Callithrix jacchus: one gene and its partner. Each later gene encodes a partner of the first gene's protein in a complex. Links are inferred from orthologs where the notes say so. Each region holds a gene or a part of one and is shown on either strand. Other genes may lie near its edges.

What was found.
Region 2: RBM10 (region 1) and MYSM1 share a complex: the UniProt entries of both Homo sapiens proteins name them as parts of the large chromatin remodeling complex. The link is inferred for Callithrix jacchus from reciprocal best matches to the Homo sapiens genes RBM10 and MYSM1.

Annotation. Positions count from the first base shown.
Region 1 is NC_133524.1:48,107,140-48,111,636, reverse strand, and holds the start of RBM10 (RNA-binding protein 10), read right to left. Parts: upstream 2,915-4,497; 5' UTR 2,689-2,914; coding exon 2,619-2,688; intron 807-2,618; coding exon 665-806; intron 1-664. Other genes in the region: NDUFB11 (NADH dehydrogenase [ubiquinone] 1 beta subcomplex subunit 11, mitochondrial), read left to right, coding at 3,478-3,684. UniProt on the Homo sapiens protein: Binds to ssRNA containing the consensus sequence 5'-AGGUAA-3'. May be involved in post-transcriptional processing, most probably in mRNA splicing. Binds to RNA homopolymers, with a preference for poly(G) and poly(U) and little for poly(A).
Region 2 is NC_133508.1:95,753,186-95,756,996, forward strand, and holds part of MYSM1 (deubiquitinase MYSM1), read right to left. Parts: intron 3,329-3,811; coding exon 3,140-3,328; intron 2,132-3,139; coding exon 1,999-2,131; intron 1-1,998. UniProt on the Homo sapiens protein: Metalloprotease with deubiquitinase activity that plays important regulator roles in hematopoietic stem cell function, blood cell production and immune response.

The DNA of each region.
Region 1 (4,497 bases):
CCCAGTGTTTCAGCTATTCCTTGTTCATAGCAGAGTTAAAGAAATAACTGAGAGTATCCATTCCAACTAAGTATCATGCCAACTGTAGCCCACACAGTCCCTGGAGTCTCCCACTACCTGACCTGGCTTGTTCCCTAGTGGTCCTGAGCAAATTCTGACTCTGATGGCGCCATTCCCACCCATCCCTCATACCCCAAGCTATAGCCCCAACCTATAGGGTTGCTCTGCTGCTGCTGCTCCTCCTCCTCCTCCTCCAGTGGCTGCCATCACCTCGCTAAACGGTACCACACAAACATATCAAGGTCGTCCAAGCTGGAAATCTGGATGTCAGTTTTGATTCCTCCCTTTCTCTTGATCCTTTCCCACCCTCACATCCAACCATGGTACCCACCAAGGTGTTCTTAACCACCTGTAAACTGCATGGCCTCCCTGTGACACCCTGAGTATTGAGAAGGATGCATCTCATGTCTCATTCATCACTGCATTCTCAGAGCCTAGCACAAGTCCTGGCTCACAACAGGTGCCAAATACCTGTCTGCTGAAAAGAAACCCATCTGCTATGCTGTTTCCTCTACCCAGAAGCCCCATCCTAGCACCTTCTTGGATCGATTCTCACATAGAGGCAAGCCTAGGCTGTTTGGAAGGCTGGGAACAGATAACTCACCGTCTTTCATACTCCATGTCCTGATAGGACCTTCGGGGGCTGCTGGGGCCCCTCCTCAGCCGCTGGCTCCGTTTCACTTCCCAGCCACCCCCACTGCTGCTACCATGATCTGCCAGCCTGGGTGATTCTTCCTGCAGGGACTCTGGGAAGAGTGAAGGGAAGAAAGGGGTCAAAGCAGTTGGGGCAGAGAGGGTCTCCTTGACAAAGATTGTTGTCAAGGCTCTCCGCCTTGTCTTCCAGATCCCAGCACTCCTGTGCATCATAATGTGAAGGTACCACATACTTGGCCTGCTCCTTCCTTTCCTCACAAACACGAGGCTAGAGCCCACTGCCCTAGAAAACAGCAAGGCCTTCAGCAGACAGAGGGCATCTTGGAGAAAGACCTGGCGATGCCACACACATTGTGATCAGGGCTTTGCCACCTGAGACAGGTAGACAAATTCAAGCCTGGGGATGCATCCCAGGGTGGGGGTAGGGGACTCTCAGTGCTGAAAGTCTTGCTGACATTCAGCACATCAGGCAAGATCTGATAACAATGGGGATCCCACGCACGCACCAGGCTCCTTCCCTGGGCCCCAAGGTACCATCCCATCCTCCCAAGAAGCTGCTGGCTGCCCCCTTTAAGGAAGCAAAAGGCCATGAAAGGCTCTTGGGGGTATGTGTGAAGGGGGTAACTTGGCAACGAGACAGCTGCCACCTCCCTGGGCTCCTGGCCAACACAGCCTTGGCCCTCACACAGCAAATGGCTCAGCCCTGAGCCCTGTCTCTTATGTGCAGCAAGGTCCCAAAGTGATTGTCTCCCCAGGGCTCAAGCCTATTTTCCACAGGCAAAAGGGGCCCTTTTGGAGGCTGTTCTGAACCACTGTTCTCTACTGGGATGGAGCAGCAAACACTTCATCCAACCCTCAGGGCTATGGTGAGAACTTAGGGAGTCCTGAGAACCGTGTGACCCAGCCAGAGGTCAGGATGAATCCCAGATCTTCGGGCCCCACCCTATGAATAGGGATCAGGTAAAGCTAGGCAATAATAGCACCTGCCTAACTCTAGGTTGCTGCCACACCTTTGCTCTATGCGTGCACATACACACACTCCAGTTTTCTCTTCCTCCTCAAGCCACAGGGAACCCGAGTTACCTGCTCCCAGGTGAGCAAGAGTTAGAATCACACCAGAGGCACTGGCGGTTGAGAGCCAGATCCAAAAACCCTCAAGAGACTCTGGCAAAGGGGCCAGAGTCACACAGTAACATCTACCACAGCCAAGGGCCAGTCACAGACACGAGCCTCAAATAACTACGGGCCCACATCACAGAAGGAACCCACAGTAAGGGCCACAGTTACACACACACTGGGTCCCCTTTCCACAGATAAGCATCAGTGTCACAGATAGGAACTCCCCAAAAGAAGCGGCAACGAGTCACACACACATTCCCTGAATCCCCCTCTCCACCCAATAAGAGGGTTTGGGCCAGTCACAAGACAGTCGTCCCCCCAGCCCCGCCCCACAGATAAGGACCAGAGTCACAGACACACACCCCCCACCAAGGGTAAAGACCAGAGTCACATCCTCCCTCCAATCCTCCAGGAAAAGAGACCAGAACCACAGAACATTTCCCCATGGACCAATACACACCAGATTTAACACAGAGCAGCATCCCTCGCCCATGCACAAACTCAAAGTCGCAGACAACCGCTTACCCACGAAAAAACTTCGGTGTAGCGGACACAGTGATCCACGGCAGCCCACTCCCATCCGTCCCTCCCTTCCCCCAACCCGCGTGCACCCAGCCAGTGTCCCAGTCGCGCACGCGCCTTTGCTCACACCAAAAAAAAAAAAAAAAAAAAAACACCACCCCCTCCCGGGTTAAGACATTGCACGCACCCCTCCGTTCCACGCATCCCCCCGGCCCGAAGTCCGCCCTCGCGCCTCCTCTACGTCCCCGCCCCGGGCCCCTTACCTCCGCCCCCACGACCAGCGTCGACGCTCACCTTCTCGGCCCGGGCTGTCAAGGGAGGGCTCCCAGACATCACCTCCGCCCGCCGCCACCTCCTCCAACTCTCCCAGCTCAGCCGGAGCCGGAGCGCGCAACAACCAAGTCCGAGGCTGCGGGCAGATCGCGGGGAGGGGAGAAGCGCCAAGCGCGCTGCCCTCCCAGGGAAACTCACTGCCGCCTACTGCCAGCCGGCCACAGTCATCAGCTCAAAATGGCGACGACAAGAAGGGAGTCGGCGCTCCGACCACCATCCACCTACTAAGGAAGCGCGCTCTGGCCAGCCCCGGCGATTGGCCGCTGCCCGCCAGGGGCCAGCCCTAGCCTCCTCTGATTGGTAAGCGCTTGCCACCTCCTCACACCCTGTGCGAACGCTCCCCTAGTCGAGAAAAGGAGTAGCTATTGGCCAATCTGGCAGGGCCCGCTTTTTAGAAGCCTGACTTCCTTTGAAGATGAAAGACTAGCGGAAGCTCCACCTCTTTCCCCAAAGGGCGAGGGAACTCTCTGGGCGATTGGTTGAGAAATGTACCAACCCGAATGTCACCGATTTCTTCCTATCCAGGAAATTAGCAGCCCCATCGATAAGAAATCAATAAGAAATTTCTCAGCCTGGCCGAAAGAGTGAGAGAATGGTTGGCACCACAAAGCCATGACAACTGGAGGCAAAGAGGATTGCTCTACGCCCTGCCTCATTAGAAAACAAAATCAGATCTGGGACCTATTAAGCGGGCGGGGACGGAGCGATAATTGTCGCGCTCGCACCCACTGCAGTTGCGCACAGTCGCATTTCCGTCTCCGCCCCTGAGCCCCTGCAGCACCGTCTGTCATGGCGGCTGGGCTGTTAGGTTTGACCGCTCGCCGTCTTTGGGCGGCAGCGGCGACGCGAGGGCTCCCGGCCGCCCGCGTCCGCTGGGAATCCACCTTCTCCAGGACTGTGGCCGCCCCACCCGTTGCGGCGGGAAAGCGGCCCCCGGAACCGACCGTGGAATGGCAAGAGGACCCAGAAACCGAGGACGAAAACTTTTATGAGACGGTGAGAGGGAGGGGAAAACGGAACGCCGAAGGGGTCAATCCGGGAGCGACAGTTGGGGTGCTGTAGAGGACGTTCTTAGTCAGTAGAGGACTGCGTGGTCGGCGAAAGAAGACGTGGGAATTTTGCCTACTTTGTGGTCCTCCTTTGTCTCTGGGTATCGAACGAAGGTTCCAGGGCCAGAGACAGGATTGGTTTTATTTTGCAGACAGAAACCACACCTCATGTGGACAGCAGTCAAAACACATTAGAAGCAATATAATACAACAACAATTATACTAAACACTGATATGGCAGTTGCTCGTTGCCGTCTGCGTTCCTTTTTTTTTTTCCTTAGAGACGAGATCTCGCGATGTTGCTCAGGCTTGTCTTGAACTCCTGGGCTCAAGCGATCCTCCCGCCTTGGCCTCCCAAGGTGCTGGGGTTACAGGTGTGAGCCACTGCTCCGGCCCCTGTCTGTGTTCTAAACACTCTACGTGGATTAACTCATCTTATCCTCAAAACAACCCCGTTTCAAGGTAGGCACTATTATTATACTCATCCTACAGACGAGGAAACTGAAACACAGCGATGTTAAGTGGATTACCCAAGCTCACATAACTGAATACATGGTGGAAGTGGAACTGTTATTTGAATTTAGGACTACCAGATCTGTTGTGCTGTATTAATAGCAGATGTTTTGAAATCAGGCAGCACTGACGGTTACCCACCCATGTGATCTTGGGAAAGTAGCATAACCCGTTGGTGCCTCACATTCTTTGTCTGTAAGATGGGAACAGTAATAAGACACCTTCGAAAAAATAAGACACCCCACCT
Region 2 (3,811 bases), on another chromosome or scaffold:
CTCACTCTCCCTTCTGCTTTCTGTTCTCTTGGGGCTCGGTCTGGCAAACTCACCTGTCTTGGTCTCCTTATCTCCATCACCTTAATCAAGTCTGCCTGGCTCTGGGTGGGTTTCTCCTTCTTGTGCCATATCTAAAAACCCTCATAAGCAGTAAGCAAGGGTAATTTTGGGCTCTTTTCATTTGTTTCCTATCTCTTAGCAATTGTATTCCTTTGCTGCTCAATGTTGTGCTTAAATACCAATATTTTATACATTTTGTCCAGTTTTCTAGTAGTTTCAGACAGGTTCTTGTTACTTCATTTTTGCCAAAGTAGAATTCCACAAACGAAATTTTAAATTTCATGTAATTCTAATCAATTTACATTTAAAGTCACATGTGCCATGTGCCTGCTATTGTATTGGACAGCACCAGAATTGAGGTTTATTTCCAAAACCTAGCAGTCTATGGGATTATAAAATGATTTAAAGAGAGAACAAGTTAATTGTGGTACTGTTTTTTATAAAACTGTACTGAGCTAAGGAATAATGTGTATTATGTGCTATGCTCAGATTGGACATTCCAGAGTATTATTAATCCAGTAAAAACCCACATAGTGTTGACCACCTCCTAGACGCAAAGCAATTTATTAGGTGCTACTGGAGAAAAAAGAAAAGACACAGTCCCTGCTCTTTGAGCATGCAGTTTATTAGGACTTGCTAAACAGATAAACTACATTAAAAGATAAAGTGACCATGAAGGCAGGAATAAAGTGTTGCAATACATAAAGAACAGAGCAACTAACAGTAATAACATGGGGGCAGTGCTGGTAAGTCATTAGCAAACATAGGGCATCCAAGTGAGATCATTAAGAATGAAGAGAAATTAGGCTGGGCTCGGTGGCTCACTCCTGTAATTCCAGCACTTTGGGAGGTGGATAACAAGGTCAGGAGTTCGAGACCAGCCTGACCAACATAGTGAAACCCCATCTCTACTAAAAATACATAATTAGCCAGGCATAGTGGGCATGCCTGTAATCCCAGCTATTAAGGAGGCTGAGGCAGGAGAATCCTTTAAACCTGAGAGGCAGAGATTGCAGTGAGCCAACATCATACCATTGCACTCTAGCCTGGGCAACAAGAGCGAAAATCCGTCTCCAAAAAAAAAGAATGAAGAGAAATTAATTATTAAACAAACATTCGTTTGGTATCTACTTTATACCAGGCCGTGTGCTAGAAACCGGATAGAAAAATGGGTACGATACAGTATTTATTCTCAAAGGGCTCAGATCTAATGGGGAAGAGTACAATGTGGGGTAACTGTAGTAACAGTGTCCAGAGGACCTGACCTAGAGTAGTGGTAGTAATAATAGAATAAATATCCTAGAGTTATTTAGCCTACTGTTTCCTCTTATTGTTTGTCTTCTGTCCACATTCCCTTCCTTTCCCTAGTCTGCTATAGTAATTCCCTATCCACCCAGAAATGATTGCCCACAAGTAGATATAAACCTCAGAGGAATCAAATCAGATGACAGCCTATGCCAACCAAATTCTTTCCTGAGATAGAATGGGAACAAAGAAATATACAAATTAAGTTAGTCATTGTTAACCCTAAACTAGGAGGTAAAGAGAGAGCTGGTGGTCATTTTTTTTTTCATTTGCATGCCATCACAGAGAAAGCCAGTCTGCATTTATAAAAACAATTTCCATGAGAACAGAGACTGTTTTGTTTACTGCAGCATCTCCAGTGCCTAAAATATACACTGCCTGGCCTAACTTTTCTCCATATTTCAATCCTTTTGCCCAGTGGCCATAGTACCAAAAGTGGAGACTTGACTAGAGCAGGAGATTATGAAAGGGAAGAGGGTGGCTACACTAGGTGGCACCCAAATAGTAATTCCCTAGTTGAGGCCACCAACTCTGACATTAAATAATTTTGCACAGTTGCAAATCTTTTGTTTTGTATAAGTCAAAGAAATGAGAGTAAAAGTAGAATAAAGTTATTTTTTGTTGAAAACTTACGATAAGAGCCATCTGGGCTAATTTCCTCACTTATAACCAGACAGGTAATTTGAGAATATGGTAAGGGATTATTTCGATTATAAGGACTAACAATCATTCCAATGAACTTTGCACCTCCTCTGGAGAAGTAACTCTACAATTACAAGAAAAATATAATTAGTTTCAACTATATAAATTTAAAAGCCAATGTTTATCCATACTAACATTTTAAACATCTAATGGGGAAAAGCAGGAACAGAAAGGTACATTAAAAAGTTCACATCTGGCCTGGTGTGATGGCTCACACCTGTTACCCCAGCACTTTGGGAGACTAAGGCGGGCAGATCGCTTGAGGTCAAGTTGAGACCAGCCTGGCCAACATGGTGAAACCCCGTTTGTACTAAAAACACAAAAATTAGCTGGGGCGTGGTAACACATGCCTGTAACCCCAGCTACTTGGGAGGCTGAGGAAGCAGAATCCTTTAAACCTGGGAGGCCGAGGTTGCAGTGAGCTGAGATTGCACCATTGTACTACAGCCTGGGTGACAGAGTCAGACTCTGTCTCTTTAAAAAAAAAAAAAAGTTCACATCCAAACTGCAACTAAATCAAATGCCTTAGACATTCATTTCACACTGTAAATTTTTCAGGCAAAAATGTGTTCAACCAAATCTGAAATCACCCTTTAAAAAAACTGGCCTACACAATCTGTATTTGCCATGAATATATTTACTAATTATATTCCCCATGCTTTATCTATAATTCTTATCAATATGGTAATAATTTACAAATACCCTACAGCAAACCCAGTCACATATCAAATATAAAATCCCAGAAAATGAAACTTTTTCTTTAGCTATAAAAAATATGTTTCTTATTATTTCAATTATATTTAGTTCCAGTTCTAGTTGCTCCCATTAATTTTTAAAGGTTCTAGGAGTATTTATCACTGTAACATTCATGGCTTGGCTGTACTTAATAACTGACTTTCTAAATGTTTACATAAACATTTATCAATCTCGCAGAAAAAAAATGCATGTTCTTTTAGAACTCCTAGTATAAAGAATATTAGAAATGCAAAACAAAAAATGTTTAAAATTTATCTGTGTAAAGCGAAGCACTGAGGGGGTGTGCAATCACTTACAGAATATATCCATATAATACCTGGTATTTAGCTTGTGTGTCAATATCTCGTAAGGAAGGATTGGGATCAAAAGCAGGATGAGAATGATACCATCCAATAACACTGTAGCCTCTAACAGCCAAGGTTTCTGAGGCCTGTGTTTGTGATACAGGATCCATCTCACACTGTAGTCCTGTACTCAGACTGTTACATGGTTCTGCTGCACAGACCTATAAAAAACAATTGATCTTCAAATGATTATATGAAAATCCTGTTAATTCTATTACTCTAATGTTATAATTCTTTCAGAGATACAGAAACTTTTCAAGGTCAAGACTTTTATTTGACAATATCACAGTTAGCCTTTAACTTGCAAATGACTTATACTCCAAAAGTCTGATTGTATGCTAGAAACTTAGCATGCATTTTTCTACTCATACAAGGTCATAATAATGGCTAGTTTTCCATGTCAGACCATATAATTCCTGTACAAAGGTATTCTTTCAATGACACCTGTTACTTATGACAATAATTTCAACAGAATCATGCATACAAACTTTCAACTACAAGTGTTGGTATATATTTCTGGCCTCTTAGAAGTTGTACCTTTTTACTAATAAAGGCAATGAGGAGCCAAGGCCTGGCAATGTTCTCTCTTGGTGGTAAAAAGAAACAGGTGCTCAGAATATGGAATGTTAAGTCACTTCTGAGAA